Xenopus tropicalis: one gene and its partners. The protein of the gene in region 1 interacts with the protein of each later gene in a pairwise test. Links are inferred from orthologs where the notes say so. Each region holds a gene or a part of one and is shown on either strand. Other genes may lie near its edges. The genes, in order: appl1, adipor1, fars2, ube2o and follicle-stimulating hormone receptor-like.

Region 1 (6,459 bases):
AGGGTGAAAAGAGGGTTGTTTATACAGAGATCGGTGTCTCCCTAGCTGAGTGTAACGAGCAGGTTGGTAAGTACTTAGAGATAAGTTGACAGATACTTGGGGGCAGGGCAGAGAAACTTTATCCCAAATGGCAGCGGAAGCCGACACACTGACTGGCACGGAAGGAACAATTAATCCAGAGTTATTCATTAAGGGCTGGATGCTGACAGACTGGGGAGGGGAGATAATTAACCGTGAGTAATAAGAGGAAACATCACATGATCAGAGTTAATTAGCATTACAGTGGTGCCTTATGGGAGAAACACATCGTATTCAGTTACTCATTGGATAAGAGAATTCATACAAATACCCAGTAAAAAGAAACTGTTATGAAACATCATTTTTGTAATTTGCCTCATTTCGGAGGCTGGTTCTCATTGGCTGTCACTGACCTACTCAGCTGTGTGGAGGCTGGCTCTCATTGGCTGTCACTGACCTACTGAGCTGTGTGGGGGCTGGCTCTCATTGGCTGTCACTGACCTACTGAGCTGTGTGGAGGCTGGCTCTCATTGGCCGTCACTGACCTACTGAGCTGTGTGGAGGCTGGCTCTCATTGGCTGTCACTGACCTACTGAGCTGTGTGGAGGCTGGCTCTCAATGGCTGTCACTGACCTACTGAGCTGTGTGGAGGCTGGCTCTCATTGGCTGTCACTGACCTACTGAGCTGTGTAGGCGCTGCCTCTCATTGGCTGTTACTGACCTACTGAGCTGTGTGGAGGCTGGCTCTCATTGGCTGTCACTGACCTACTCAGCTGTGTGGAGGCTGGCTCTCATTGGCCGTCACTGACCTACTGAGCTGTGTGGAGGCTGGCTCTCATTGGCTGTCACTGACCTACTGAGCTGTGTGGAGGCTGGCTCTCATTGGCTGTCACTGACCTACTGAGCTGTGTGGGGGCTGGCTCTCATTGGCTGTCACTGACCTACTGAGCTTGTGGAGGCTGGCTCTCATTGGCTGTCACTGACCTACTGAGCTGTGCGGAGGCTGGCTCTCATTGGCCGTCACTGACCTACTGAGCTGTGTGGAGGCTGGCTCTCATTGGCCGTCACTGACCTACTGAGCTGTGTAGGCGCTGCCTCTCATTGGCCGTCACTGACCTACTGAGCTGTGTGGAGGCTGGCTCTCATTGGCTGTCACTGACCTACTGAGCTGTGTGGAGGCTGGCTCTCATTGGCTTGTCACTGACCTACTGAGCTGTGTGGAGGCTGGCTCTCATTGGCTGTCACTGACCTACTGAGCTGTGTGGGGGCTGGCTCTCATTGGCTGTCACTGACCTACTGAGCTTGTGGAGGCTGGCTCTCATTGGCTGTCACTGACCTACTGAGCTGTGTGGGGGCTGGCTCTCATTGGCTGTCACTGACCTACTGAGCTGTGTGGAGGCTGGCTCTCATTGGCTGTCACTGACCTACTGAGCTGTGTGGGGGCTGGCTCTCATTGGCTGTCACTGACCTACTGAGCTTGTGGAGGCTGGCTCTCATTGGCTGTCACTGACCTACTGAGCTTTGTGGAGGCTAGCTCTCATTGGCTGTCACTGACCTACTGAGCTGTGTGGGGGCTGGCTCTCATTGGCTGTCACTGACCTACTGAGCTTGTGGAGGCTGGCTCTCATTGGCTGTCACTGACCTACTGAGCTGTGTGGGGGCTGGCTCTCATTGGCTGTCACTGACCTACTGAGCTGTGTGGAGGCTGGCTCTCATTGGCCGTCACTGACCTACTGAGCTGTGTGGAGGCTGGCTTCTCATTGGCCATCACTGACCTACTGAGCTGTGTGGAGGCTGGCTCTCATTGGCCGTCACTGACCTACTGAGCTGTGTGGAGGCTGGCTCTCATTGGCCGTCACTGACCTACTGAGCTGTGTGGAGGCTGGCTCTCATTGGCCGTCACTGACCTACTGAGCTGTGTGGAGGCTGGCTCTCATTGGCCGTCACTGACCTACTGAGCTGTGTGGAGGCTGGCTCTCATTGGCCGTCACTGACCTACTGAGCTGTGTGGAGGCTGGCTCTCATTGGCTGTCACTGACCTACTGAGCTGTGTGGAGGCTGGCTCTCATTGGCCGTCACTGACCTACTGAGCTGTGTGGAGGCTGGCTCTCATTGGCCGTCACTGACCTACTGAGCTGTGTGGAGGCTGGCTCTCATTGGCGGTCACTGACCTACTGAGCTGTGCAGAGGCTGGCTCTCATTGGCCATCACTGACCTACTGAGCTGTGCAGAGGCTGGCTCTCATTGGCCGTCACTGACCTACTGAGCTGTGCGGAGGCTGGCTCTCATTGGCCGTCACTGACCTACTGAGCTGAGAAAGGAATAAACTGCTGCGGTTTTTTGGATGCAGAATTATTAAAGGGGAACTCCACCCAAAACTGAAGGAAGATGTTTGCTGATCCTATCATACAAACTGTTTATGTGCACGTGTGACTGTGATTGGACGCAGTGTTTGTTCTGGGCGGAGCCAAACCTTCCAATAAATCCCAGTGTTTCTCTGATAATCACAACAGACGGCAAAGAATGACGACTCTTTATATAAACGGAATCTACTTCCTGAAGGGGAAATCAGATTATTCCTCCCTTTTATTCTCTGCCATTATATCTCCCACTGACCCTAGCAACCGCGCCAAGGTGTGAATGCCAGGCTGGGAGGAATAAGACCAATAAGTAACAGAACCCAACCCTCTCACAGTTCCCTTCCATCCTTAACCAGCAAAATGACCCACATCAGGGGGGACTTTCTGTACCGACCCCACTACCCCTCATGTCCCACTCCTACATGTTCAGCAATCTGCTTGGCAAGAGGTTCCGCAGCAGCTGCAGGTCTCACCCCTTGGCTATGCACCAGCTCACTATGCCCTGTGCCAACCCCCCCCCCCTCCCAATGAGGTTCTGGTGTTGGTTCTATCCCCCAGCTCACTATGCCCTGTGCCAAGCCCCCCCCCCCCTCCCAATGAGGTTCTGGTGTTGGTTCTATCCCCCAGCTCACTATGCCCTGTGCCAACCCCCCCCCCCCCCTCCCAATGAGGTTCTGGTGTCGGTTCTATCCCCCAGCTCACTATGCCCTGTGCCAAGCCCCCCCCCCCCCTCCCAATGAGGTTCTGGTGTTGGTTCTATCCCCCAGCTCACTATGCCCAGTAACCAACCCCCCCCCCGGCCCAATGAGGTTCTGGTGTTGGTTCTATCCCCCAGCTCACTATGCCCAGTAACCAACCCCCCCCCCCCCCGGCCCAATGAGGTTCTGGTGTTGGTTCTATCCCCAGCTCACTATGCCCAGTAACCAACCCCCCCCCCCCGGCCCAATGAGGTTCTGGTGTTGGTTCTATCCCCAGCTCACTATGCCCAGTAACCAACCCCCCCCCCCCCGGCCCAATGAGGTTCTGGTGTTGGTTCTATCCCCCAGCTCACTATGCCCAGTAACCAACCCCCCCCCCCCCCCCCGGCCCCAATGAGGTTCTGGTGTTGGTTCTATCCCCCCAGCTCACTATGCCCAGTAACCAACCCCCCCCCCCCCGGCCCAATGAGGTTCTGGTGTTGGTTCTATCCCCCCAGCTCACTATGCCCAGTAACCAACCCCCCCCCCCCCCGGCCCAATGAGGTTCTGGTGTTGGTTCTATCCCCCCAGCTCACTATACCCAGCACCCAACCCCCCCCCCCGGCCCAATGAGGTTCTGGTGCCGGTTCTATCCCCCAGCTCACTATGCCCTGTGCCAACCCCCCCCCCCCCGGCCCAATGAGGTTCTGGTGTCGGTTCTATGCCCCCGCCCCATAAGCCTGTGCAGCCCTGGCCCCTCCCCAGCGGCCCCTGTACCCGGGCCCCACCTTCCCCCCCCCCCCCGGCCCCACCTTCCCCCCCCCGGCCCCCCCTGCTGCTCTCATTAACCCTCTCGGTGCCTCCCTGGGAGTGACACGGCCAACAAGCCCCTCCCCGGTTCCCGGTAGCCCTCACTCCCCTCATTCTGACACCCCGGTACCTGAGGGCTGTCCTCCAGCGTCTCCTCGATGGGCAGCTTGTCAGTGCCGAGCATGGCGCCGGTTCCTGGGCCGGGGAGCAGCGGGACAAGCGGGGACTGTAAACAGAACCGTGAATTCTACAGCAGCGCCCTGCCAGCGGACATCCCGCCTTGTGCCTTTCGCACCCTCTTCTCATTGGCTCAGCCGCGCTGTTACTCACAAGCGCGAAGTTGCTATTGGGCGGCTGAGCGATCTGTCTGTGTGTATGGTTGCTAAGAGGCGGGACTGACAGGAAGTTGTCAAGATGACGCTAAGGGGAAGGTTCGCTGAGAATTGGCCCTGAGTGGCCCCAGGTGCCCCCTGTATCCCAGTACCCCCTGTATCCCAGTACCCCCTGTATCCCAGTACCCCCTGTATCCCAGTAACCCCAGTACCTTCTGTATCCCAGTAACCCCAGTATCCCAGTACCCCCAGTATCCCAGTACCCCCAGTATCCCAGTACCCCCTGTATCCCAGTACCCCCAGTATCCCAGTACCCCCTGTATCCCAGTACCCCCAGTATCTCAGTACCCCCAGTATCCCAGTACCCCCTGTATCCCAGTACCCCCTGTATCTCAGTACCCCCAGTATCCCAGTAACCCCAGTATCCCAGTACCCCCAGTATCCCAGTGCCCCCAGTATCTCAGTGCCCCCAGTATCCCAGTGCCCCCAGTATACCAGTACCCCCAGTATCCCAGTACCCCCAGTATCCCAGTGCCCCCTGTATCCCAGTACCCCCAGTATCCCAGTGCCCCCTGTATCCCAGTACCCCCAGTATCCCAGTACCCCCAGTATCCCAGTACCCCCAGTATCCCAGTGCCCCCTGTATCCCAGTGCCCCCTGTATCCCAGTACCCCCAGTATCCCAGTGCCCCCAGTATCCCAGTACCCCAGTATCCCAGTACCCCCAGTATCCCAGTACCCCCAGTATCCCAGTGCCCCCTGTATCCCAGTAACCCCTGTATCCCAGTACCCCCAGTATCCCAGTGCCCCCTGTATCCCAGTGCCCCCTGTATCCCAGTGCCCCCTGTATCCCAGTACCCCCTGTATCCCAGTGCCCCCTGTATCCCAGTACCCCCTGTATCCCAGTACCCCCTGTATCCCAGTAACCCCTGTATCCCAGTACCCCCAGTATCCCAGTGCCCCCTGTATCCCAGTGCCCCCAGTATCTCAGTGCCCCCAGTATCCCAGTGCCCCCAGTATCCCAGTACCCCCAGTATCCCAGTACCCCCAGTATCCCAGTGCCCCCTGTATCCCAGTACCCCCAGTATCCCAGTGCCCCCTGTATCCCAGTACCCCCAGTATCCCAGTACCCCCAGTATCCCAGTACCCCCAGTATCCCAGTGCCCCCTGTATCCCAGTGCCCCCTGTATCCCAGTACCCCCAGTATCCCAGTGCCCCCAGTATCCCAGTACCCCCAGTATCCCAGTACCCCCAGTATCCCAGTACCCCCAGTATCCCAGTGCCCCCTGTATCCCAGTAACCCCTGTATCCCAGTACCCCCAGTATCCCAGTGCCCCCTGTATCCCAGTGCCCCCTGTATCCCAGTACCCCCTGTATCCCAGTACCCCCTGTATCCCAGTGCCCCCTGTATCCCAGTACCCCCTGTATCCCAGTACCCCCTGTATCCCAGTACCCCCTGTATCCCAGTGCCCCCAGTATCCCAGTATCCCAGTACCCCCAGTATCCCAGTAACCCCAGTATCCCAGTGCCCCCTGTATCCCAGTACCCCCAGTATCCCAGTACCCCCAGTATCCCAGTATCCCAGTGCCCCCTGTATCCCAGTGCCCCCTGTATCCCAGTACCCCCTGTATCCCAGTACCCCCTGTATCCCAGTGCCCCCTGTATCCCAGTACCCCCTGTATCCCAGTACCCCCTGTATCCCAGTACCCCCTGTATCCCAGTGCCCCCAGTATCCCAGTATCCCAGTACCCCCTGTATCCCAGTAACCCCAGTATCCCAGTGCCCCCTGTATCCCAGTATCCCAGTACCCCCAGTATCCCAGTACCCCCAGTATCCCAGTACCCCCTGTATCCCAGTAACCCCAGTATCCCAGTGCCCCCAGTATCCCAGTGCCCCCAGTATCCCAGTGCCCCCTGTATCCCAGTACCCCCTGTATCCCAGTGCCCCCTGTATCCCAGTGCCCCCTGTATCCCAGTACCCCCTGTATCCCAGTACCCCCTGTATCCCAGTGCCCCCAGTATCCCAGTACCCCCAGTATCCCAGTACCCCCTGTATCCCAGTACCCCCTGTATCCCAGTAACCCCAGTATCCCAGTACCCCCAGTATCCCAGTAACCCCTGTATCCCAGTAACCCCAGTATCCCAGTAACCCCAGTATCCCAGTAACCCCCTGTATCCCAGTAACCCCTGTATCCCAGTACCCCCAGTATCCCAGTAACCCCCTGTATCCCAGTACCCCCTGTATCTCAGTACCCCCTGTATCC
Region 2 (5,932 bases), on another chromosome or scaffold:
GACCGTCCATTTATTCAGTGCTGACATCATAACTTATAATGAGCATGCTGGACCATCATGGTGATTTGCAGATTTTAGTATTAATTTTATGTTACCTCATGGGTTATTTTCCTTACTGAACATATACTTCTCTTCTGTCTACAGAAGGGGTATGGATACATTTTGAGAGCACTGTAAAATACATTCTTATCACTTATAATCTGAACAGTGTTTTTTTTTTTTTATTTGATTAGGTGTGGGAAGGCCGCTGGAGGGTCATTCCATATGATGTGCTCCCTGATTGGCTGAAAGATAATGACTACCTTTTACATGGACATCGTCCTCCAATGCCATCTTTCAGAGCGTGTTTCAGGAGTATTTTCCGTATACACACGGAGACTGGAAACATATGGACTCATTTGCTAGGTATGAAATTATAAATAAGCAATTAACAAAATTAAAACCACACAAACAGCATGTTTGTAGTGAGATTTGCATGCAAATGAATGAAGTCCTGGGTAGGAAACCGTTTCACTTGCTCCCAAGGAGGTTCATTAGATCTCAACTACAGACTGGTTTCGATATTGGCGCTTATAAATGTAGTGCAGCGTTTTCTGAAGCCAGAGAACATTCAGTACAATCACCTGTGTTCCCATGTTCCTGTTAATGATGCCTTTGTTGTAAATTATATATATATATATATATATATATTATATATCTTGAAATTTATATATTGTTGCATGCAGATTAGCTTTCGTTGCAAGTGACAAATAATTTACACTAATTTGGTGAGTGTGAACTGTAATAGAAATATATCTACTTTGCAGGTTTTGTACTTTTTCTTTCTCTCGGCGTTCTAACTATGCTCCGCCCCAACATGTACTTCATGGCTCCTTTGCAAGAGAAGGTTGTATTTGGAATGTTCTTTCTAGGTGCTGTATTGTGCCTCAGCTTCTCCTGGCTTTTTCACACAGTATATTGCCACTCTGAGAAAGTATCTCGCACCTTCTCAAAGTAAGTGGAGGGTAGAAAATGGGCTCAAGAATTTGCCAAATTGATTTGTATTATGGGTGGCAGTATATCATTTAGTATTTCTTAAAACTATTATTCCTTACGTAAAAGCTTGGGGTGTGTTTTGCATGCCCTGTTGGGATTCCATTCTTACATTTTTGTCTTGAATTTTATTTTCTGATATTTTTAACTGACTATGCCCCCATTTATATTCTACCACAACTTTGCAGTCTATTGATACATACTTTTTCGAAATTCCTTCTTGACCAGCACCTGTACATTTTTTGTTTTTTTGGATTAGCCCTTTAAAGAGAAAAGGGGTCAAGGCACATGGCCATGTCCAGTTAAAAACCATTCCCCTGATCTGCCAAAAAATTGGCAATCTCCCTTCCCTTTTGGGACCTATGAAACTGGTCTATCAGTACTTCCACCTGTTTTCCCCTAAATCATGGCCCTGACCCCAATTCATTCATTTCAGATCTCTTAATACAACTCATATTGTCTGTTTGCTTCACTTATTCACTTATTGCAAACAAGGAAGTGACAACAAATTTCTATTCTTCAGGTTGGATTATTCAGGGATTGCTCTGCTAATCATGGGAAGCTTTGTGCCATGGCTCTATTACTCCTTCTACTGCTCTCCACAGCCACGTCTCATATATTTGTCTATAGTCTGTGTTCTGGGTATTACTGCAATAGTTGTAGCACAGTGGGACCGTTTTGCGACACCTAAGCACAGGCCAACAAGAGCAGGTAATGTGTTTCCTAAACAGCTTCATAAAGCCCAGCATTCTTGGGTTAGGATTATTTCTGTCAGATGTCATGCTCTCTACATTTGTGCTTATGTAATGTGTACACGTGTATTAGTGGGTGTTGATGTATCCTGTTTGTAATGAAAGATGTCTATATTGCTTCATAGTAACATGTTTTGTTTTGCAATTAAAGGTGTGTTCCTAGGGCTTGGCCTCAGTGGCATTGTGCCAACCCTTCATTTCACAATTGCAGAAGGCTTTGTGAAGGCAACAACAGTGGGACAGATGGGCTGGTTCTTTCTTATGGCTGTCATGTATATAACAGGAGCAGGGCTTTATGCAGCACGAATTCCTGAGCGTTTCTTTCCAGGCAAATTTGACATCTGGGTGCGTATGGAAATTTTCAGAATACCCTTTGTACACTGTGTCTTTAAAGGCTAGTAAATTAATTTAAAAAATAGTAATGATTGTGCTTTTGGTAAAACAGATTATAGATACTCAGTGGCTTAGGTTTGGTTGTTAATAAATATGTGTGGCCTGGGCCAGAGGTATTTGAGGCACCTTGGTATATCAGTATCATAGGCTCTGTTAATCTTTTCTAGATAGCATCTTTGCTGTTCTTTTCCAGCTGAGTGCAGGCAGCACTCGGTGCTTTCCCCTCTATTCCTATGGCTGTGTGCAACATTTGCCTTTAAACATCAGCCAACCTATTTTATGAGAAACTAAATTTTAAGTGCTCAAACTGAGTTTATAAGTATTTAATTTTGTTTTAATATTTTGGAACAATAACATAATATTCACTCTGCATAACAATGAATATTTTTTTTTTTTCCTTTCTCCACAGTTCCAGTCCCACCAAATATTCCACGTCTTGGTGGTGGCAGCAGCATTTATACATTTCTATGGCATTTCCAACCTTCAAGAATTTCGATATGCATTAGAGGGTGGTTGCACAGATGATTCACTTTTGTAAACAGCAGTAACAGATTAAGACTTACTACATCTGGTGACCTACAATGGTTGTGCAAAAAGTGAGCAAGACTGATCCACTAGCCACCCTTTTCTAGATCAATATATAGTATGTTCTTAAAGATCATTGTCTCTGCTAACTCCTTGTTTACAGTAGGAAGGTGCCTAATGTAACTAAGAAAAGAGGAGGAAAAAGAGCTGGGATTTTTTGTACATACTTGAAATACCTCCTGGGACAAAAGAGATGCCATAAGCACTAGTTGTATATTTTGGTCTTTGATCAAAAAATTACAAAATGTAAATTCCAGAAATGTAAGCTGAACAACCCTTGGGAGTCATATTTGAATGGAACATAACCTTCAATGAGGTGCTTGACATACACATTACCCGTTATAAAAATCAGAGGCTTTACACAAGTCACCAACTTGATCAGATCTACACATTCCTCAGAATAGAACCTTTGGTATGTTACTGCTACTGCTGCTGTTCTGGAATAAATCATTTTTCTCTCCCAAGGTTAGAAGGTTTCAGAATTCGGAATATTCATTTGGTGTTTAGGGTAAAGTCTCTTGTGGATGTATATAGGGTAAAACTCTACCATAAAATGTGATGCCTTAGTTATTAATTAAAGTGACTTAATGGCTTCTTATGGTATACAGTAATCTGCCTAAACCAAGATGTTATTAGCATTAACAACTTTATAACAAGGGTTTATTATTTCTTTTTACTTTTATTAGTATTTTTTGCAGATTCAGTTATGGTTCCATTTTTTCTAATATGAGACACATCACATATTACAGAGGATTCCTTATATAAGCAGCTATATATTGGGCTTTCAGGTGTACAGCTTTCTTGGACATGCTCTCTGAAAAGTATAGTTGGGTTGTATATTAATAAGGAGTATCTAAGCATATGGAGTAAACATCTTGCACTTTATAATAAGTATTTTTGTACATTGATAAATATATACAAATTTGGTCTGAACACTGATGCTGAACCAACACAATTCTTACCAAACCTGTGTTCTCTGATGGAAATCCTTTTCTGTAGCTATACAGAGTTTTTCAATAAACACCATATCCCACCAGTGAACAGTGTGTGACTCGACACTGCAAATTTCTGTTCTCTTACAGTGAAAATGGTCATATTTTGTATCATCAAGTATCTTGGTGACTCAGTTTATTTAAAAATATATAGTATACTAACAGACACCGTGCTGCTCCATGCGAAGATAAATATTAAGTCTCCGTGATCCCTAAACTGCTTCTGATTTTTGTTTTATATAATTTACTGTTTAAAGCAAGGTAAATGGCCGATACCTGATTTTCTGTTACAGTGTATTATTTGAAAAAAAAAAAATTCAGTGTGTGAAAACCTCATTCAACAAAACAATTCCAAACAATGACCATGGAAGTTGGTCAGTGGTCAAAAACTGCTTAAATTCATTTAAGGTATTATAGGATGACTATCTACAGCTTTATTGCTCACAGTTAAAGATCTGTTACATTATGACCGTTAATATATGTATAAGATTTTTTTTATCGCAGGGTATTGCCTTTAATATCACATAGAGCCATTTCATCCAGTATTGTGGGTTCAGACCACACATATCAGAGCTGCTTTAATAAATGGGCAAAAAACTGGAGGGCCCACTATTAGCTTTGTAACTCATTTGTAAAAATGAATGAAGCATTGGCAGGCCATTTATTTTAAAATTCTGGACCAAATCAAGATGCTCCAATCGTTGGCCCTAGGGCCAGTGATCAGTTCATAATAGGCTCTTGTGTAGGCTAGTCAGGAGATGACTACATCACGTGCCAACCCATTTTCAAACACTTGCATGGACAGATAAACTGGCGATTCAGTCCACAGGGGCTAAATCAACTCTTTAATTCTGCCCCTGTATGGCCAGCTTCACTTCATATAAGAGTAACTTGAACCAGTTTTGTATTACATGCAGAATTCTCTTTTCCTATGCTTGTAGCTACTATAAGTATGATACATGTGTACCATTGATAATGCTGTTTAATAAGTTTGGGTTATAAAAAATGACCCACTTTTTTATTGCATTACAACTGTTCTTGCAAAATTACATTTGTACTACCCTTGAGAAAAAAAATCTTATTTGCAGCCTGGTCATTCCTCCATTTTGCAATGCCAACCTCATTCTATTCACTTTTATTCTTAACTTTTAATTTAGATTAACAAATGTTGTAAGAAGTTTTCCGGCTACGAAATTGGACCAGAATTGACAGATTTACAGAAACCAATAAACGTTTAGTATGAGCATGTAATTGTTTCTTCTTAATTTCTTTAAGATAAAGGTGGGCGTCATTCTGTACCATTGGGGAGCTCCTCAACCAATATCTGCAGTGATCATCAATCAAAATAGTTAAGATAACCGATATAAGGCAGGCTGACATAGAATCATAATTAAGCCACATGGGGTTCATTCTTAGTCTGTGGATAAACTCAGGCTGAGAATCAGCCTCTATGCTCTGAACAGCTTTCCGATGTGCCTGCACCTGGAGCCACTGTTTCGGACTGGGTGCAGGCACACAAAGGGGCCGTTTCATTAATACACGAGTTCGAATCCTGGATAGGAAAAATTCGGATTGGATACAATAATTTCTGAAGATCGCAAATATCACGAAAACGCTTACGAAAAAATTGTATTAGTCATGATAATATCGTATTGGCGATCCGAAAGTCACAAAATTTTCATACCAAACTAAACAGCGGCAGAACCTTTCCGAATTTTTCTCCCAAGAGTACAATAAAGTCGTGCAAGCCCGGAAAAAATGGCGAAAATACACTCGGAGCGTACATGGAAATGCTGTTTGGAGTGTAAGGACTGATTCTCAGTCTGTTTATCGGCCTTGTGTGACTGTAGCCTAACTTGTTATTAGAGCTAATTTTTCTCTCACAAATAATTTATAAACAAGCACATATATAAAAATCTGTAAAGGTATGTGTATATATGCACTGGGTTTCCCTTGGATGGGTTAAACACCTGTGATCAAGCCTACCTAACTTATCTTTAGTCTGTCAACCAGTGGCAGTCTCTTGTAACTGGTTGTCCTTGACATGCATGAATAATAGGTTCCATGGAGGTAGGCTGCCTCCTTACCTCTACTTTGTAAATTCATCTACCTGGAGAATAGCACAGGGACAGGGTAAACAGGCAATATCATAATTCATACATCTGAAACATAAACTTG
Region 3 (6,366 bases), on another chromosome or scaffold:
GATGTCATGTATGCAATTTAACCAACTTTATATAAATCCTTGCCTTATCTGTATATTTTGAGAGTGAAGTTTGGTGCATGTTGGGTGAATGGCTATATATGATCTGTGAACAGCTTACATTCTTCTAAAATCGAGGAAAAATGAAAGTGAAAAATGTTAGCTCCTCCTCTTGTATGGGATCCAATTTTTTGCACAATAAAAGAAAATGTAATTATATGTAACTTTCCAATATACATTTATTGAACAATTTTAACTTGTACATGCAGTTAAAATGACTCATGGTACATCCAAATTAAGAAAGTGATCACACTGTGATTAGTACAGTTGAAAACCAATCCAATTTCAATGTACCATAAATGTGCATGAGTTCTTGAAGAAGCCACGATGGAAAAATTATATTAAATATGAAAATAGCAAAACAAATATGGCCTCAAAATAAATCTGTTTTCTATTGCCTAGCATAACTGACCCTGATAAACACCTTTAGTATGCAGATATTGATAAAGTCAATTTGCATTTGGTCTTCATTTTTTATGGTTTTTTATTTATTAAGCTTTTTTTGTTCAGCAGCTCTCCAGTTTGGCATTTAAGCAGCTATCTGGTTACCAGGGTGCAATTTACCAGTGATTGATAATATGAATAGAAAAGGGGCTGCATAGAAATAAAGGTAAATAAAAAAAACCCAATAATAATAAAATTGAAGCCTTACAGAGCAGTAGTTTTTTTTAAATCTGGAGTCAAAATAAGAAAAAGGCAAATAACGCTGGAAAATAAGAGAAAAGGCACAAGTTACATAGCAGATAACAGATAAGCTCTGTAGACTCTGTTATCTGCAGTGTAACCTGTGCCTTTGCTCCAATTTTCCAGTTTAAATGACTGCCCCATGGCTACACAGCAGAGTATTTTTAAATTACAGTAGTGTTGCTAAAAGCAAACACGCAACTTTTTCTAGTGCAGAGTAACAGTACCTTCATACGTTAATTACTTTGATACATTTTCATTTTTTGGTGTTACTGTTCCTTTCTATTCCTAGCAACTTTGCATTTGGTCTTCATTATATATTACAGTTTATTAATTATTTGCCTTCCTTTTCTGCTTCTTTTCAGCTTTTAGATGGGGTCCACTGAAACTGCCACACAAAAATCTATTGCTTTCTGAGGCCACAATTTTGTTATTGTTACTTTTTATTACTTATCTTTCTATTTAGTCCTTTTTATTTCCCAGTCTCTCATTCAAATAACTGACTGGTTGCTAGGTTAAAAACGACCCAAGCAACTAGATAGCTGCTGAAATACCAAACTGGAGAGCTGTCGAACGAAAACCTAAATAACCACAAAAAATAAAACAATGAAGACCAAATGCTAATTGTCTCAGAAACACTCTTCAAAACTATTCACAGGGCCAGAGAGATGTTAATAGAGTACTTAATGGATAGGAAAGCCACATTTTTTTGACTGCAGTTTAAATGTGAATATTAACATTTAAACTGCAGTACAAGAGAAACATATTTTCTCTTTTCACAAATTTATTTTTTTTCCTTTTGAAAAGAGGTAAATGTATGACATGAGTTGTAGTTATCTCACAGTGCCAGTTGCTGAGTAGATATTTCACAATGCCAGTCCCTGAGTATAGGGAATATTATGGTTTTACATGACAAATCGTGACAGCTCTGTAACTGAATTTTCTTACAGCTTAAACTCCATGTCAGTTTAATACGGAGTTAACATACAACACTGAGGCTTAAGCGTGCAGTGCGAATTAATCCTGACACAGGCTAATAATAAATGCTGAATATTGCACTATTACAAATAGCGCTGGGGTGCAATAAGTAAATAGAGCCTTAGGAAGATGCAGACACTCACACTCCCTATACAGTTGATAGGTGAACCAGCGTGAAAGTCTCTTCCCTTCTTTCACTTCTTGCCTACTTTCAGCAGCTTCTAGCGCAAGAACGCATGACGTCACGACTACAGGAGGGGATCTGGGACAAACGTGTTCGTGCCGCGTTTTGCTTTCGGTTGGAACTTTTGTGGTATTTTCTGTAAAAATGCTATTTGCCTAAAAAGCGCCTACGGCAAGTTGTTCCTCTTATCGTAACAGTCATATGTCTTTGTAATATCAGTGCTAAACTTTTAAATATTAAAGATACCTAAATCGGCGATCTATGGAAAATGAGAATGTCGTCGCAGCTGCGAGCGTTGGACCAATAGGGCTTTCTTTTAACACGTTTCAGGGATGTTAGAGTAAATTTACGCCGCTGACATGTTTGTCCCAGGTCCCCTCCCGTAGCTGTGACGTCATGGGCTCGTGTGATAGGATCTGCTGAAAGTGCCAAAGGAGGGAGAAAAGGGAAGAGACCTTCACATTGTCACATAGATTACCTGCTGCTTAGGTCGTGTGAGTGTCTGCACCTTTAGAACTATATGTTAAGCTATGTAGTAATAACCATTTATTGTATAAATATATATGTAGGCTACGTAGTAGATCTAATTATATTAGCTGTTTTAATACATGCTTTATATTACAACCTGTATTAAACTGGCAAATAACGTCAATACCCCCATCTTTAAACTATAAATGTTTTAAATAGGCAGTTCAAAGTGTATAGGAAATCTGTTCTTCATTATTCTTTATTATTCTTTAATATATCATACTCCCAGTACCCACTATTGGCAACATTTGGCTCTGCAGTTGTTGGGAGAATTGTGTACACTCACACACTTAACAGTTATACATTTATTAAAAATGTACTTGCAACCAATCTGTATTCTTTAAAAATACAGACAGTCCATAAGTAAGGAAGAAACACTCCCACAAGAAGACTCACTCACCATACCTGCACACATGCATTTAAAATTATATTGACACATGTATGATTTAGAGTGGCTCTGTGTGCTGCTATTAATGCATTTAGTAACTAAGCAGCATTTACAGTTTTTGTGTGATATTGTGTTGTAAGAACTAAAAACAAGTATATAGGTTCCTAATTGAGAGATTATGTTGGCGCCATATTTATGCGCTACCCATATTGCCATATACATTTAGGGGCACATTTACTAATCCACGAACGTCCGAAAAGCGTCCGAATGCGTTTTTTTCATAATGATCGGTATTTTGCTACTTTTTTGAGTGCTCAATACGAAAGTCGCGACAATTCACGAAATTTGTAATGGCAATGAAAAAGTCGCGACAATTCACAAAAGTCATAATAGCTATGAAAAAGTTGCGACAATTCGCGAAAGTCATACTGGCTATGAAAAAGTCGCGACAATTCGCGCAAGTCGTAACGGCTACAAAAAAGTCGCAAAAAATACGAAAAAGTCGCAAAATGTCCGTTTTCCAATCCGAATTTTTCCCATTCGGATTCGTGGATTAGTAAATCAGCCCCTTAGAGTAATAATTGTAGAAAACCATTGCACAAAAACTTCCAGCTTTGGCTCTGCAACACATTAATATACAACAATGTTTTAGGTGAGTCAAGCATGCCAAGTCTGCATTCTTTGCCTCTTTATTAAAACAAATTTAGCAGATATTTTTGCAGCTAATTACAGGTATGGGACCTGTTATCCAGAATGTTCGGGACCTGGGGTTTTCAATAATTACAGTAATTAAACACAATAGGATTGTTTTGGCTCCAATGAGGATTAATTCTATCTTAGTTGGGATCAAGTATAAGGTACTGTTTTATTATTGCAGAGAAAAAGGAAATCATTTTAAAAAAATGCAACTTATTTGATTAAAATGGAGTCTTTCCGTAATTCGGAACTTTCTGGATAATGGGTTTTCGGATAAGGGGTCCGAGACCTGTATTAGGGATGCACCAAATGCATAATTTCAGGATAAGGCCAAATACTGAATCCATCACTACAGATTTGACTGAATTCTGAACTAATCAGAACCCTAATTTGCATATGTAAATGCATGTTCAGGTGAATTAGATCCTGAAAAAATGGCTGGAATTTGGCAAAATCAGTGCATACTTAGTAGTGATGAACTGATACCTGCCTGTGTATTTTTTAATTGAGAACATGACCAGAAGCTGAAAGATATAACTTTAACAGTTCTATAGTTATCATACAACAACATAATTTATTGACTTTATGTTTATTTAGTGTAGCAACTCCAATAGCATTTATTTTTCTGCAGATTCCAAATGGATGTAAGAAAATATATTCTGTCAGGACTCAGGAAGCATTTATGGTCTTGTAATTCAGGAATTGGTGGAGTAAGCTTAGGTAAGAAAGTATATCAATATATACATTTTCTGTATGTTTGAGCTTATAGTTGTCCTTTATTATTCTCTACACTTGACAACACTACCTAGCATATGATCTATATTGAACATATTTAGGTTCACTCTGTACGTCATATCTTACAAAATAGGAAGGAATGCATTGGAGAAAACATGAACATACATTTAAGGTTTGTGTGCATTTGTTGTGTGTTTTTTTTGTTACAACTGAGTGAAGAAGAAATGTTATTGTAGCTTTTTACTGGCATTGACTTCTTTCTGCTGCTTCAAAGCATTTATTGTGGCACAAGTAGCCTTTAGGCCATATTACTACTACAGCTTACTATTAACGTTCTAGATATTTTTTCATCTCCATTTTAGTTTAGCTGTTTTCAAATAGTTCATCAGAAATGACTTTTATTAAGTGAGATTGATTGGTTTGAGATTTAGGTTTAGTTTAATTTTCCCTTTACAGGTTTAAGTAAAGGGGGCAACTAAGTAAGCGAGTGGGCACAGACTCTCTAAACTCTTAAGAAAGAAGGAAAGGCTAATAAAGAGTTAATCTCAAGCTGCAGGCATACCTTCAATTGAATTGCTGAAGATCACAACTATCACGAAAATGGTTACGAAAAAATCATATTAGTCACGATAATATCGTATTGGTGATCCGAAAGTCACAAAATTTTCGTACCGAATGATTGTAAACAGCGGCAGAAGCTTTCTGAATTTTTCGTGCAAGTGTACAGAAAAGTCGCACGGACGTACGAAAAAGCTGAAAATATGCTCGGAACTATGAGTTAGCTTCCTGCTGATTGGCTCAGATCCACATTCCTAAGGGGGGGAGTGAGTTCTTAGCATTCTTGAGGGAGGGGGGAGCAGGAGAGAGGAGACAGCAAAGAGCTGCGTGTCTCTGGCAGAGGAATTACAGACACAATAAATCTTTTCACGGAGAAGTCAGTGCAGCATTTCTGTGAGTGCTTATGGCTGTATTTACATAGACCTTTCTGATAAAGCTTACTTAGTTTTTACCTTTCTTTCTTCTTTAAGCTAATGTTAGACTAAGCTTTTTTTTTTGTTGTCAGAAAAAACACAATTACATCCTTACGACACCCCATAGCAAAGACAGAAATGGCATGAGCCTGTCTCTACACACACAGCATTTTCAGGCTGACGTCTACCCACTGTGTCCAATAACAAGCTGATGTCATTACTGTCACAAGGAGGCGGGAAGCATTCTTGTTTTCTCCACTGTCATTTTTCAGAATGCAAACAACATTCTTAGTCTGACATAAGTCTTTTCTTCATTAGTTTATACTTTTTTTCAGCAGCTTCAGAGGAAAGCCAACAATTGATTTACAGAGTCAAATGTAACAGCTGAGTTTAGTAAAGCTCAGGGAACATTTACAGTAGGGGTTGAAGCTGCTGCAGTTAAAATGGGATACAGTAGTTTATATATTTCTTAATAGTTTAGTTTAGTCAGTCAGCCACTGAGTTTCTGGGGAATATAATTAAACTTTAAATATTGGAAGTATGGTAAAAAAAAAATACAAAGCAACTACAAAGAAACATTATTTGGTTTAGGGCTCCTTTCAGCTGATTTTGACCAGCCTTGTTTCACAATTGCTACTTCAGTCCTTCCATTACAAGCTTTACAAAAACTATGAAACAGTCACTGCAAAGTCATTGGAGAATAATTGTTAGTGGTTGGTATTGTACCATGTTAAAGAGTAAGTTATGCGGGGATAGAGCCAAGATTGCAAATTGATGGCATGCACAAGTAGCTCCCTGGTCTGCATCCTGAACATATCAACAGTCTACCTGTTTCTAAATAGCCTGCCAGAACTTGCAGTTCCTCCTGGGGCACAGTAATGTATGCTAAGCATATTAATGCTAGACTTGAAATCTTTCTACGGTCCTTGTAACCTGCACATTTGTTACGGGAGCTACTCACCCACTGGAAGGCCTGGAAAAGGAACCAGAACTATCCAAGAAGGAGTTATTAGCAGCGATACAGAAAGTGCATGCAGGTTTGTGTAGAGAACCATGTGGCCAGGCTGGAAGTCACTTTATAAACCATACTGAAAGAGTTGGCCCTATTAAGAAACTTAGATGTTGGCAAATGCAGATGATCTGGA
Region 4 (6,602 bases), on another chromosome or scaffold:
AAGTCTTATAATGTCATCAAGTAATTCTGCAGCAATCGGCTTAATAAACGGCCCTGTCTGTCTGTCTGTCACTGTGAGCCAATATATCACTTGTATACACATTATTCATAGGTCTGGTGCTGCAGAATTACTGTATGGCATTACAAACAAGAAGTCTGACTCGTTAAACAACAGGGGCAAACTTAGGGGGCTGTTCCTGCTGAATTGTGCTTAGTACAGGGGAATCCCTATGTGCCATAGTTTTATGGTATCTCTCTGTACAGGCTATGGGCAAACTTAGGGGGCTGTTCCTGCTGAATTGTGCTTAGTACAGGGGAATCCCTATGTGCCATAGTTTTATGGTATCTCTCTGTACAGGCTATGGGCAAACTTAGGGGGCTGTTCCTGCTGAATTGTGCTTAGTACAGGGGAATCCCTATGTGCCATAGTTTTATGGTATCTCTCTGTACAGGCTATGAGCAAACTTAGGGGGCTGTTCCTGCTGAATTGTGCTTAGTACAGGGGAATCCCTATGTGCCATAGTTTTATGGTATCTCTCTGTACAGGCTATGAGCAAACTTAGGGGGCTGTTCCTGCTGAATTGTGCTTAGTACAGGGGAATCCCTATGTGCCATAGTTTTATGGTATCTCTCTGTACAGGCTATGAGCAAACTTAGGGGGCTGTTCCTGCTGAATTGTGCTTAGTACAGGGGAATCCCTATGCTGCTATAGTTTTATGGTATCTCTCTGTACAGGCTATGAGCAAACTTAGGGGACTGTTCCTGCTGAATTGTGCTTAGTACAGGGGAATCCCTATGTGCCATAGTTTTATGGTATCTCTCTGTACAGGCTATGAGCAAACTTAGGGGGCTGTTCCTGCTGAATTGTGCTTAGTACAGGGGAATCCCTATGCTGCTATAGTTTTATGGTATCTCTCTGTACAGGCTATGAGCAAACTTAGGGGACTGTTCCTGCTGAATTGTGCTTAGTACAGGGGAATCCCTATGTGCCATAGTTTTATGGTATCTCTCTGTACAGGCTATGGGCAAACTTAGGGGGCTGTTCCTGCTGAATTGTGCTTAGTACAGGGGAATCCCTATGTGCCATAGTTTTATGGTATCTCTCTGTACAGGCTATGAGCAAACTTAGGGGCTGTTCCTGCTGAATTGTGCTTAGTACAGGGGAATCCCTATGTGCCATAGTTTTATGGTATCTCTCTGTACAGGCTATGAGCAAACTTAGGGGGCTGTTCCTGCTGAATTGTGCTTAGTACAGGGGGATCCCTATGCTGCTATAGTTTTATGGTATCTCTCTGTACAGGCTATGAGCAAACTTAGGGGACTGTTCCTGCTGAATTGTGCTTAGTACAGGGGAATCCCTATGTGCCATAGTTTTATGGTATCTCTCTGTACAGGCTATGAGCAAACTTAGGGGGCTGTTCCTGCTGAATTGTGCTTAGTACAGGGGAATCCCTATGTGCCATAGTTTATGGTATCTCTCAGTACAGGCTATGAGCAAACTTAGGGGGCTGTTCCTGCTGAATTGTGCTTAGTACAGGGGAATCCCTATGTGCCATAGTTTTATGGTATCTCTCTGTACAGTCAGTAAATAAATGTTAGCCTATAACTCTAGCTGTTGTCAGTTACTAGCTCTGCCTGCTGATTGGCTCTCAGGGTGGGCAGCACCATGTTGCTGGGCTGGATAAACCTCCCGCAAGCACCCCCAGCAAGTTCCATTGGCAGCTTCCAACAGCCACAATCACGACTGTATGTAACGACAATAACAACAACAGTAATAATGGTAAAAGCTGAATTTACTCACATCTATTGAACTGTGTTATTGTATGTGAAGTTCTTTATCCCCTGGGGGAACCTTCCCAAATAGCCTCATTGTATTGATATTTAATGGGTGCTAATTGTGGGGAGCAGAAATCTAGGGTGGGGGAGGGCCCATATCTTCCCACAATACAAACACATCCAGGCAGGTTAAATGCCTCCTGATGAGCTGACCCGAGTGTGCGCCATGATTGTGCTAGATTGTAAGCTCCTCCGGCGCAGGGCATTGCTATGAATGTTGCACCGTATAATCATAGAGAACATTTTCTCATGGATATTAATCTTTTTCTTTCCAGGATCCCAGATCCATGATGATGGACTTTTATTCTTTGATCTATGATTGGATTTCAGAACCCAGTTTGGATAGTTCTGAGGTAGGTGGTTTGGGGCAGGTTAGTATAGGGGCTGGTGCCTGTGTCTGTTATACAGGAGAATAGAGTATATATAATTATATCCATTGAGTTTAGGGTTTCCGCAATGCTAGAATAGAGCCGGCCGGCCGGGCACCGCTCCAGCCTTTCACTTACAGCATTGCCAGTACTGAGACATTAACAGAGTATTTATACCAGCGCTTTGTAATATTCCCTAGAAATACAAATGCCTTTATCTTATCAGCAGGTCGGTACCCAGTGTGCGGCAATTCCTTTGCTGAACTTGTCCTTGGGTCAGTAGTAAGAGGCTACTTGGGGTATTAATGTGTGTGTAGCTTTACCCCATCACTGTATTTCTCCTTATTGTACTGGGAGCCTGATTGGGGGTGAGACAGAGATGCAGCCAGGGATACACTGGATACTCCTTATCCCCCCGGAGGCTGGGAATGGGGACACCTTGATAAATGCACAAAATGCCAAACAGAAATGGAATCTCCTTATAGTATGTATTTGGGGCTTGACTTTGAACCCAAGAGGGCTCTGCTGCTGAGAAGCTACACAGGCCTGAGTTAGTTCCCGTACTACACCGCTAGGGGGCAGATTATACTAATATGAGCAAACAGTGGGGCATCTCCTGGGGAATGGGCACATTTATTTTGGGAAAGGTATCTCTGCCCCAACTCTGAGCAGCTTTTACCCTATAGCCCCCCCCCCCCCCGCCCTTAATGCAATGCAGTAAGATTTAGTGCTGTTCTGGAAGCCCAGTGTATTATCCCATAGAGACACAGGGAGAGCAATAGGGAGGCTTCTAGAGCCCCGCAATGTGACTGGGGCCAGGCCTTTATAAGCGCTACACACCAACCTTAGCAACAGAGACCCAGGCGTTCCCCTAGCAACAGCATCCTCTCCCCTAGTTACCACGCCGGGCGTGCTGACGTCAGTGCGCCCTTTACGCAGCGCTCTCCTTGGTAACCGCCCCGGCCGGCAGCAGCAGCTCCTGTCTCTTCCCTTCCGGACAACAACAATGGCGGATCCCTCGGACTCGGCTCCATCCTCCGCCTCCCCCGGGCCCCCGGCCGGTGACGGCTCCCAGCGGCTCCTGTTCTCTCACGACTTGGTGTCCGGCTGCTACCGGGGCCACACCCGCTTCGGCCTGGTGCGTCTCATCCACGGAGAGGACTCGGAGGAAGAGGAGGATGCGCTGCCGGGGGAGGAGGAGAGCGGCCCCGGGGGGAGGAAGAAAGGAGCCGGCGGCGCTGCGGGAGGAGGGAGTCCCGGGTCGGAGCCGCCGCTCAGCAGGTTCGGCCCATTAAAGCGCGGATATGTGCGGGTCCAGTGGTACCCGGAGGGCATCAAGCAGGACGTCAGGGAGAACAAGGTAAGGGCCCCCCGGTGTGTGAGGGAGGGGGGGGCACGGTGGGACTGCAAGGCTCGGCCTCTCCCTGGGGCAGTGCCCGGGCATACATCTGCCTTTCTCTACTTACTACTGATTGGCTGTTGTACCACTACTCCCAGCATCCCCCTGGGGCCATGCCCAGGCACGTCCTACAACTCCCAGCATCCCCCTGGGGCCATGCCCAGGCACGTCCTACAACTCCCAGCATCCCCCTGGGGCCATGCCCAGGCACGTCCTACAACTCCCAGCATCCCCCTGGGGCCATGCCCAGGCACGTCCTACAACTCCCAGCATCCCCCTGGGGCCATGCCCAGGCACGTCCTAGGACTCTTTATGCTGATGAACCACAGCCCCCAGTATCCCAGTGGGACCCGTCCTTCAGATCTGGGCCTGGGCTCCCTGTAGTGTCTGTGGCCCTTTCATCCCTCCCTGTGGCCCCGTCAGGTTCAGCAGTGGCTGCCATGGGATGCTGGGTGCAGTCAGGCAGAGGCAGATCTAATTGCCCCCCCCCCCCCATGGCTGCACTGGGAGCAGTACTACAGATGCGCTTCTTGCTAACATTGGGTTTGATGGGCACAAGCCACATTGCTAGGCAGCTGCCGTTAGTGTCCGATTGGTGGCACGGGGGGGGGGGGGCACAGGTAACAGGTGGTACTTTAGGGGTTTAGCTGTTTCTCTGTCCCTAACCCCCCCCCCCCCCCCCAGGCTTTGTATCCCAATGTCTCTCCTGTCTGGGTAACCTCCTATCCCTATTGCCCCTTGCTACAGCCTGAGGGGCCCCGTACATGTCACTCCCTAATTGTGAAGGGCAGTGTTGTTGGGCACAGAGGGTGAATAAATATTGGGGTCCCCTGAGTGTTATGTGTCCCCCATCAGCCTGTCCCTCAGGGCCCGGAACTGCAGTCTCTATGTATGTAGCTGTTGGGCCCAGTGCCTACCCCCCCCGTCCCTAATTCTGGCCTGGGCCCATGTCACATTGGGCAGATTAGGATGGGGGCACGGGTGGTTAGCGGGGCGAGTAGCGGGGGCATGGCCGGGTAGCGGGGGCACAGACGGGGGGGGGCATGGCCGGGTAGCAGGGGCACAGACGAGGGGGGGGCATGGGCGGGTAGTGGGGCACGAGCTGCGGCTGCTGTGAGGCCTGGAATAATCCAGCTGCAAAGTGATGACTGTGCATATGAGCCGGAGGGGGGGGGCGAGATGCTGGGGGGGAATGTAAGTTGGAATGTAAGTGTCTGACAGTATAATAACCTGTCACACTGTGCCTGGTACTGCTAGCCCCCCCCCCCCCCCCATAGCATCCTCAGCATGTCATTGGGCAGCCTGCCAGCCGTGCCCATGTGTGTTTGTACTATGGGTCCTGGCACTGCTGGAGAAGCCTCTATTGGGGGGCCCTCCTGCTGCGAGAGCAAGTAAAGCAAAAACAGTCGCTTGGTTTAGGAGTGGGAGCAGGGTGGGTGGGGAAATACAAAAATAGGGATGGGGGGGGTCACTGAACACATTATAATTGGGGCAATTGCTGCTCATGATTGCCCCCCACACCCCCTCGCATGGACAGGAATAGTGCAGGAGCCGCACTACCAGAATCCTTTGGGGCATTTGCTGTCAATGTGACGACCCTGGATCTGTTGGGGACAAGGATAAACCAGCCGGCAAAATGGGAGGGGGGGGTCCCAAATGGTGAGGCAGTGGCAGATGGGCCGGCTAGGCCTTTGGCTCCCATTAGGCAGGAGGTGATGCTGTACAGAGACACAGAGACATGGCCCCCCCCCCCCCCCCGGGACTGGGTAACTTGTTCCAGATGTTCTACTGGCCAACAAGCAGCCGGGCCCTGGTAGGTGCCAGTCACAGTGCCAGGGGTGTATGTATATATGTGAATACACTGTTATCTGGTAACACTTGGTGGTGTCTGGGGGGGGGGGTGTTACTGGCTGGGAGTGCGGTGATAACACTTTGCAAGGCAGATAAGTCACATGACTGTGCAGAACTGAGCGTGTCTGTTAGGCAATCCAGAGCCGCGGGGGGGGGGGGGGCATTGGGCCGCTGGAGGGTCCCGTCCCAGAATGTGCCCTCACTGTAATGTATCATGGGGGGGGGGGGGGGGGGGCAGTGCTGGGAGTTGGCATTGCAGGGAGTGAGTATAGAATCCTGCCTCTGGCTCAGTTACTCAGCACTTGTACGTGCCGCCCCCGGGGGTCTCTGTGCGCCGGCGAGAGCGTTCCCTCCCAATCCTGGCTGGGCTGGGGCGGCCCCCCTATAGCCGGTCTCGGCAGAGCCCTATGGGGGATTGATAAGACTATTAATAGCCGGGCAGCGGCAGCCTGTGTGGGGGTATTTGCTACAGGCAGCAGTGCGCCTCCTATCCCTGGGAATTGGCACAACTGCTCAGAAACACCCCGGGACTGGCCTTTTATTATATAGCTCAGCCCAACCCTTTCCTTATAGCGGGGGGGGGGGGTCAAATCATAACGTCACCCTTAGATATCAGTGGGGCTCAGGGGCTATAATCTCCCGAATTATTATATATAACGTATTATAGGCACTGAATTCTGCATTATCCTGGTCGGAGTGCGGGGAGGGGGGGGGCTCACCTGGCTAATGGCGCCCCCCTCCCCCCCCCCATTGATGCAGTTTGTCTGCATTGTATCCCAGGAGTGTTCTGGCAGGTAGGGCAATGTTCCACCCCAGGGAATAAGGCACTCGGCTGTTCCAGAGCCCCCCCCGGTTATTGTATTGGTACTGGGGGCTTTTGTTTAGCTGAGCAGCTCCATTGTAATTCCCTGTAACTCACCGGTGATGACTGTGCATTCCCAGGGGTCCCTGTACTGAGAGGAGCATCCCGGGGGGGGGGGGGGGAATGTTATTAACGCTGCGCTGTGTGTCGCTCTGGGAGTCGGGCTGAGCCGGCGGATATTTGGCGCTGTAGGCCCAAACAGGCCCAGATTGGGGGTTTCGTACCTGATATATACATGTTAATGGGTATTGTTTAGAGCTGATACTGGGCCTGTATTACTGGGGGGG
Region 5 (6,701 bases), on another chromosome or scaffold:
AAATATATATATATATATGAAAAATCTAAAAAATATATAGAAAGCCAGGTATGGGATCCCTTATCTGGAAACCTGTTATCCAGAAAATTCCAAATTACAGAAAGGCCCTCTCCCATAGACTCCATAATAAGCAAATAATTCTAATTTTTAAAAATGATTTCCTTTTTCTCTGTAATAATAAAACAGTACCTGTACTTGATCCCAACTAAGATATAATTACCCCTTATTGGGGGCAGAACAGCCCTATTGGGTTTATTTAATGGTTAAATGATTCCCTTTTCTCTGTAATAATAAAACAGTACCTGTACTTGATCCCAACTAAGATATAATTACCCCTTATTGGGGGCAGAACAGCCCTATTGGGTTTATTTAATGGTTAAATGATTCCCTTTTCTCTGTAATAATAAAACAGTACCTGTACTTGATCCCAACTAAGATATAATTACCCCTTATTGGGGGCAGAACAGTCCTATTGGGTTTATTTAATGGTTAAATGATTCCCTTTTCTCTGTAATAATAAAACAGTACCTGTACTTGATCCCAACTAAGATATAATTACCCCTTATTGGGTCAGAACATCCCTATTGGGTTTATTTAATGGTTAAATGATTCCCTTTTCTCTGTAATAATAAAACAGTACCTGTACTTGATCCCAACTTAGATATAATTACCCCTTATTGGGTCAGAACATCCCTATTGGGTTTATTTAATGGTTAATTGATTCCCTTTTCCCTGTAATAATAAAACATTACCTGTACTTGATCCCAACTTAGATATAATTACCCCTTATTGGGTCAGAACAGCCCTATTGGGTTTATTTAATGGTTAAATGATTCCCTTTTCTCTGTAATAATAAAACAGTACCTGTACTTGATCCCAACTAAGATATAATTACCCCTTATTGGGGGCAGAACAGTCCTATTGGGTTTATTTAATGGTTAAATGATTCCCTTTTCTCTGTAATAATAAAACAGTACCTGTACTTGATCCCAACTAAGATATAATTACCCCTTATTGGGTCAGAACATCCCTATTGGGTTTATTTAATGGTTAAATGATTCCCTTTTCTCTGTAATAATAAAACAGTACCTGTACTTGATCCCAACTTAGATATAATTACCCCTTATTGGGTCAGAACATCCCTATTGGGTTTATTTAATGGTTAATTGATTCCCTTTTCCCTGTAATAATAAAACATTACCTGTACTTGATCCCAACTTAGATATAATTACCCCTTATTGGGTCAGAACAGCCCTATTGGGTTTATTTAATGGTTAAATGATTCCCTTTTCTCTGTAATAATAAAACAGTACCTGTACTTGATCCCAACTAAGATATGATTACCCCTTATTGGGTCAGAACAGCCCTATTGGGTTTATTTTATGGTTAATTGATTCCCTTTTCTCTGTAATAATAAAACAGTACCCGTACTTGATCCCAATTAAGATATAATTACCCCTTATTGGGGACAGAACAGCCTTATTGGGTTTATTTTATGGTTAATTGATTCCCTTTTCCCTGTAATAATAAAACAGTACCTGTACTTGATCCCAACTAAGATATAATTACCCCTTATTGGGGCAGAAAAGCCCTATTGGGTTTATTTAATGATTAAATGATTCCCTTTTCTCTATAATAATAAAACAGTACCTGTACTTGATCCCAACTAAGATATAATTACCCCTTATTGGGGGCAGAACAACCCTATTGGGTTTATTTCATGGTTAAATGATTCCCTTTTCTCTGTAATAATAAAACAGTACCTGTACTTGATCCCAACTAAGATATAATTACCCCTTATTGGGTCAGAACAGCCCTATTGGGTTTATTCAATGGTTAAATGATTTTTAGTAGACTTAAGTTACGGAGATCCAAATTACGGAAAGATCCCTTATCCGGAAACCCCAGGCCCTGAGCATTCTGGATAATGGGTCCCATATCTGTACCTTGTACTTGATCCCAACTAACATATCCTTTATAATCCATTATAATCATCCTTAATATAACAGAATAATGCTTATTGGAGTTAAAACTATTCTACTGGGTTATAAATATTATATGTATAATACAAAAAAGGATAATACCCTCAAAAATAAATCATTTGCCAAAGTGCCAATAATGCATAGATATATTGCAAAGTACAGCACTCTACAGGTGTATTTATTGTTTTTTAACCAATAAATACACTTTGGCGTTGTTAAAAAGACCTCAAAAAAAAAATTATATATATATTACTGATACTTTTTCTCTCTCCATATATTACTGAAGCTTTCTCTCTGAAAAAAAGTCATTTATATATTCAGCTCTGCTTGCCTGTGTGGGAGGACTTGGAATGTTCGCCTCTATTCTGTATCTATAAAAAGTGACACCACTTACTGCGCTGACATCACAGTAAACATGCGTCCTTAAGGCTGATAAGACGCGCTACAAGATAAACACTACAAACGCAACATTAGCTTTTTCCTGTCACCCTGAGCTCTATAACGACACGTACAAAATGCGTTTCCTAGAATTTGTGGGGGAAAAAGAAAACTTCTAGATATAAAAATAGATTCAACCCGACATAAAAAGAATGTTCTCTTTATGTTTTCATCAACCCTTATGATATATGGTCGATCTTATAGATACAGTCACTACCCTGGGTTTTATATAATTATTATAAGGAATAGGTTTATACAATCATTCAGGATAAATATTATATATCAGTAAAGGGAGTTTAATATCTTGAGGTTACTTATACTTTGTCATGATATTGATGATTTCTATATACAGGTATAGGATCCCTTATCCGGAAACCCATTATCCAGAAAGCTCCGAATTACGGTGAGCCTGTCTCCCATAGACTCCATTTTAATCAAATAATTCAGAATTTTAAAACGGATTTCCTTTTTCTCTGTAATAATAAAACATTACATTGTATTTGATCCCAACTAAGATATAATTACCCCTTATTGGGGGCAGAACAGCCCTATTGGGTTTATTTAATGGTTAAATGATTCCCTTTTCTCTGTAATAATAAAACAGTACCTGTAATTGATCCCAACTAAGATATAATTACCCCTTATTGGGGGCAGAACAGCCCTATTGGGTTTATTTCATGGTTAAATGATTCCCTTTTCTCTGTAATAATAAAACAGTACCTGTACTTGATCCCAACTAAGATATAATTACCCCTTATTGGGGGCAGAACAGCCCTATTGGGTTTATTTCATGGTTAAATGATTCCCTTTTCTCTGTAATAATAAAACAGTACCTGTACTTGATCCCAACTAAGATATAATTACCCCTTATTGGGGGCAGAACAGCCCTATTGGGTTTATTTAATGGTTAAATGATTCCCTTTTCTCTGTAATAATAAAACAGTACCTGTACTTGATCCCAACTATGATATAATTACCCCTTATTGGGGGCAGAACAGCCCTATTGGGTTTATTTCATGGTTAAATGATTCCCTTTTCTCTGTAATAATAAAACAGTACTTGTACTTGATCCCAACTAAGATATAATTACCCCTTATTGGGGGCAGAACAGCCCTATTGGGTTTATTTAATGGTTAAATGATTCCCTTTTCTCTGTAATAATAAAACAGTACCTGTACTTGATCCCAACTAAGATATAATTACCCCTTATTGGGGGCAGAACAGCCCTATTGGGTTTATTTAATGGTTAAATGATTCCCTTTTCTCTGTAATAATAAAACAGTACATTGTACTTGATCCCAACTAAGATATAATTAACCCTTATTGGATGTAAAACAATCCTATTGGGTTTAATTAATGGTTTTTTTTTTTTGTTTTTTTTTTTATTAGACTTAAGGTATGGAGATCCAAATTACAGAAAGACCCCTTATCCGGAATACCCTTGGTCCCGAGCATTCTGGATAACGGGTCTTATACCTGTATATATATATATAGTGTATATCTGGCTTACATATACCATGAGTGGCATTATGACATAATAACTCCAATAAGATTGAATCCCAAGACTTACAATTCAGTGGCATTCCTGGGGATATTGTTTGGAATCTGTTCCATCTTGTTTTCTTGGCAGACAAAACTTCTGCCCATGCATTGGCAAACAGCATGGCATCCAAAACAGGGCTGCAAACAAAACAACATGCAGACGAAAATAAGAGGCATTCTGTCTACATCTGATGTCCCTCTCGTGCTCTAAACAAGTTCAGACTTCAGTTTCCTGAGAGAGGGAAGACTTTTAAGATCCGCCTTCAAAAGAGGTGTAACGTGCCTGACAACGAGCAGCTAATTTCCTAACTCATACTCCGTGCCGGGCAAAGCCAGCCAAGCCCCATGGGATCACTATTTATCAATAGAAAGCCCTGTTGGTAACAATGTATAAGGCTTTTTTTTTTTTTTTTTTTTGGCTGCGACGTAACCTTGAAGTTAATCCTGAGCGGACCCAAAGACAACAATATCAGTTGGGCAGGGAGTGTTTTGCATTTCTACACGACTCTGAATGTGTAATATTAACAGTTTTATTATTTCAGAGCAAGGGACAGGGTGTTTAGCTGGAGTTGGAGCTGTCCTTGAAGTTTCTGCCAATGCTGTTTTTTTTTATAAATACGCTGCCTTTAGGGACAATACCTGCATCCTGAAATAAAGGAAACACAAGTTTTAATTACCAAAACCATAGGGATTTATGGCATATTTATGCATGTTCTGCAACAGAGGTCCCCAATCTTTTTTACTAGTGAGCTGCATACAAATGTGGAAAGGGTTGAGGAGCAACACAAGCATAAAAACGTTTCCTGGAGGTGCCAAATACAGTCTGTAAATGACTATTTAGTAGCTCTATATGGGCTGGCAGCCTGCAGGAGGCTCTGTTTGCCAGTAAGCATGGTTTTTATGCAACCCATATTTGCCTCCAAGGCAGAAATTAAAAAATAAGCACCTGCTTTAGAGCCACTAGGTGCAACATTCAGTGGGGTTGGTGAGCATGTTGCTCCCAAGCACTATCAGGGTTACATAGTACATAGGGCTGAAAAAAGACCAGAGTCCATCAAGTTCAACCCTTCCAAGTAAACCCAGCACCCACAACCTATACTTACCTATCTATCCACTCACATACAGACCCACACTGACCTATCTATACACTCACATACAGACCCATACTGACCTATCTATACACTCACATACAGACCCACACTGACCTATCTATACACTCACATACAGACCCATACTGACCTATCTATACACTCACATACAGACCCACACTGACCTATCTATACACTCACATACAGACCCACACTGACCTATCTATCCACTCACATACAGACCCATACTGACCTATCTATCCACTCACATACAGACCCATACTGACCTATCTATACACTCACATACAGACCCACACTGACCTATCTATCCACTCACATACAGACCCATACTGACCTATCTATACACTCACATACAGACCCATACTGACCTATCTATCCACTCACATACAGACCCACACTGACCTATCTATACACTCACATACAGACCCACACTGACCTATCTATCCACTCACATACAGACCCACACTGACCTATCTATACACTCACATACAGACCCATACTGACCTATCTATACACTCACATACAGACCCATACTGACCTATCTATCCACTCACATACAGACCCATACTGACCTATCTATCCACTCACATACAGACCCACACTGACCTATCTATCCACTCACATACAGACCCACACTGACCTATCTATACACTCACATACAGACCCATACTGACCTATCTATACACTCACATACAGACCCATACTGACCTATCTATCCACTCACATACAGACCCATACTGACCTATCCACTCACGTACAGACCCATACTGACCTATCTATACACTCACATACAGACCCATACTGACCTATCTATCCACTCACATACAGACCCATACTGACCTATCCACTCACATACAGACCCATACTGACCTATCTATCCACTCACATACAGACCCATACTGACCTGTCCACTCACATACAGACCCATACTGACTTATCTATCCACTCACATACAGACCCACACTGACCTATCCACTCACATACAGACCCATACTGACCTATCTATACACTCACATACAGACCCACACTGACCTATCTATCCACTCACATACAGACCCACACTGACCTATCTATACACTCACATACAGACCCATACTGACCTATCTATCCACTCACATACAGACCCATACTGACCTATCTATCCACTCACATACAGACCCACACTGACCTATCTATCCACTCACATACAGACCCATACTGACCTATCTATCCACTCACATACAGACCCACACTGACCTATCTATACACTCACATACAGACCCACACTGACCTATCTATACACTCACATACAGACCCACACTGACCTATCTATCCACTCACATACAGACCCACACTGACCTATCTATACACTCACATACAGACCCACACTGACCTATCTATCCACTCACATACAGACCCACACTGACCTATCTATACACTCACATGCAGACCCATACTGACCTATCTATCCACTCACATACAGACCCATACTGACCTATCTATCCACTCACATACAGACCCACACTGACCTATCTATCCACTCACATACAGACCCACACTGACCTATCTATCCACTCACATACAGACTCATACTGACCTATCTATCCACTCACATACAGACCCACACTGACCTATCTATACACTCACATAC

What was found.
Region 2: the proteins of appl1 (region 1) and adipor1 interact in binary tests that used the Homo sapiens proteins (3 or more experiments, as listed by UniProt). The link is inferred for Xenopus tropicalis from reciprocal best matches to the Homo sapiens genes APPL1 and ADIPOR1.
Region 3: the proteins of appl1 (region 1) and fars2 interact in binary tests that used the Homo sapiens proteins (3 or more experiments, as listed by UniProt). The two-hybrid records come from large-scale screens. The link is inferred for Xenopus tropicalis from reciprocal best matches to the Homo sapiens genes APPL1 and FARS2.
Region 4: the proteins of appl1 (region 1) and ube2o interact in binary tests that used the Homo sapiens proteins (3 or more experiments, as listed by UniProt). The two-hybrid records come from large-scale screens. The link is inferred for Xenopus tropicalis from reciprocal best matches to the Homo sapiens genes APPL1 and UBE2O.
Region 5: the proteins of appl1 (region 1) and follicle-stimulating hormone receptor-like interact in a two-hybrid assay, tested with the Homo sapiens proteins (2 studies listed by BioGRID). The link is inferred for Xenopus tropicalis from reciprocal best matches to the Homo sapiens genes APPL1 and FSHR.

What each region holds. Positions count from the first base shown.
Region 1 is NC_030680.2:148,668,764-148,675,222, forward strand, and holds the start of appl1 (DCC-interacting protein 13-alpha), read right to left. Parts: upstream 4,186-6,459; 5' UTR 4,050-4,185; coding exon 3,996-4,049; intron 1-3,995. UniProt on the Homo sapiens protein: Multifunctional adapter protein that binds to various membrane receptors, nuclear factors and signaling proteins to regulate many processes, such as cell proliferation, immune response, endosomal trafficking and cell metabolism.
Region 2 is NC_030678.2:75,136,569-75,142,500, forward strand, and holds the end of adipor1 (adiponectin receptor protein 1), read left to right. Parts: intron 1-233; coding exon 234-405; intron 406-806; coding exon 807-993; intron 994-1,555; coding exon 1,556-1,743; intron 1,744-1,935; coding exon 1,936-2,129; intron 2,130-2,586; coding exon 2,587-2,715; 3' UTR 2,716-5,000; downstream 5,001-5,932. UniProt on the Homo sapiens protein: Receptor for ADIPOQ, an essential hormone secreted by adipocytes that regulates glucose and lipid metabolism. Required for normal glucose and fat homeostasis and for maintaining a normal body weight.
Region 3 is NC_030682.2:88,245,974-88,252,339, forward strand, and holds the start of fars2 (phenylalanine--tRNA ligase, mitochondrial), read left to right. Parts: upstream 1-2,289; 5' UTR 2,290-2,397; intron 2,398-4,146; 5' UTR 4,147-4,153; coding exon 4,154-4,235; intron 4,236-6,366. UniProt on the Homo sapiens protein: Is responsible for the charging of tRNA(Phe) with phenylalanine in mitochondrial translation.
Region 4 is NC_030686.2:45,268,172-45,274,773, reverse strand, and holds the start of ube2o ((E3-independent) E2 ubiquitin-conjugating enzyme), read left to right. Parts: upstream 1-3,038; 5' UTR 3,039-3,209; coding exon 3,210-3,563; intron 3,564-6,602. UniProt on the Homo sapiens protein: E2/E3 hybrid ubiquitin-protein ligase that displays both E2 and E3 ligase activities and mediates monoubiquitination of target proteins. Negatively regulates TRAF6-mediated NF-kappa-B activation independently of its E2 activity.
Region 5 is NC_030681.2:21,713,033-21,719,733, forward strand, and holds the start of follicle-stimulating hormone receptor-like, read right to left. Parts: upstream 4,190-6,701; 5' UTR 4,140-4,189; coding exon 3,991-4,139; intron 1-3,990. UniProt on the Homo sapiens protein: G protein-coupled receptor for follitropin, the follicle-stimulating hormone. Through cAMP production activates the downstream PI3K-AKT and ERK1/ERK2 signaling pathways.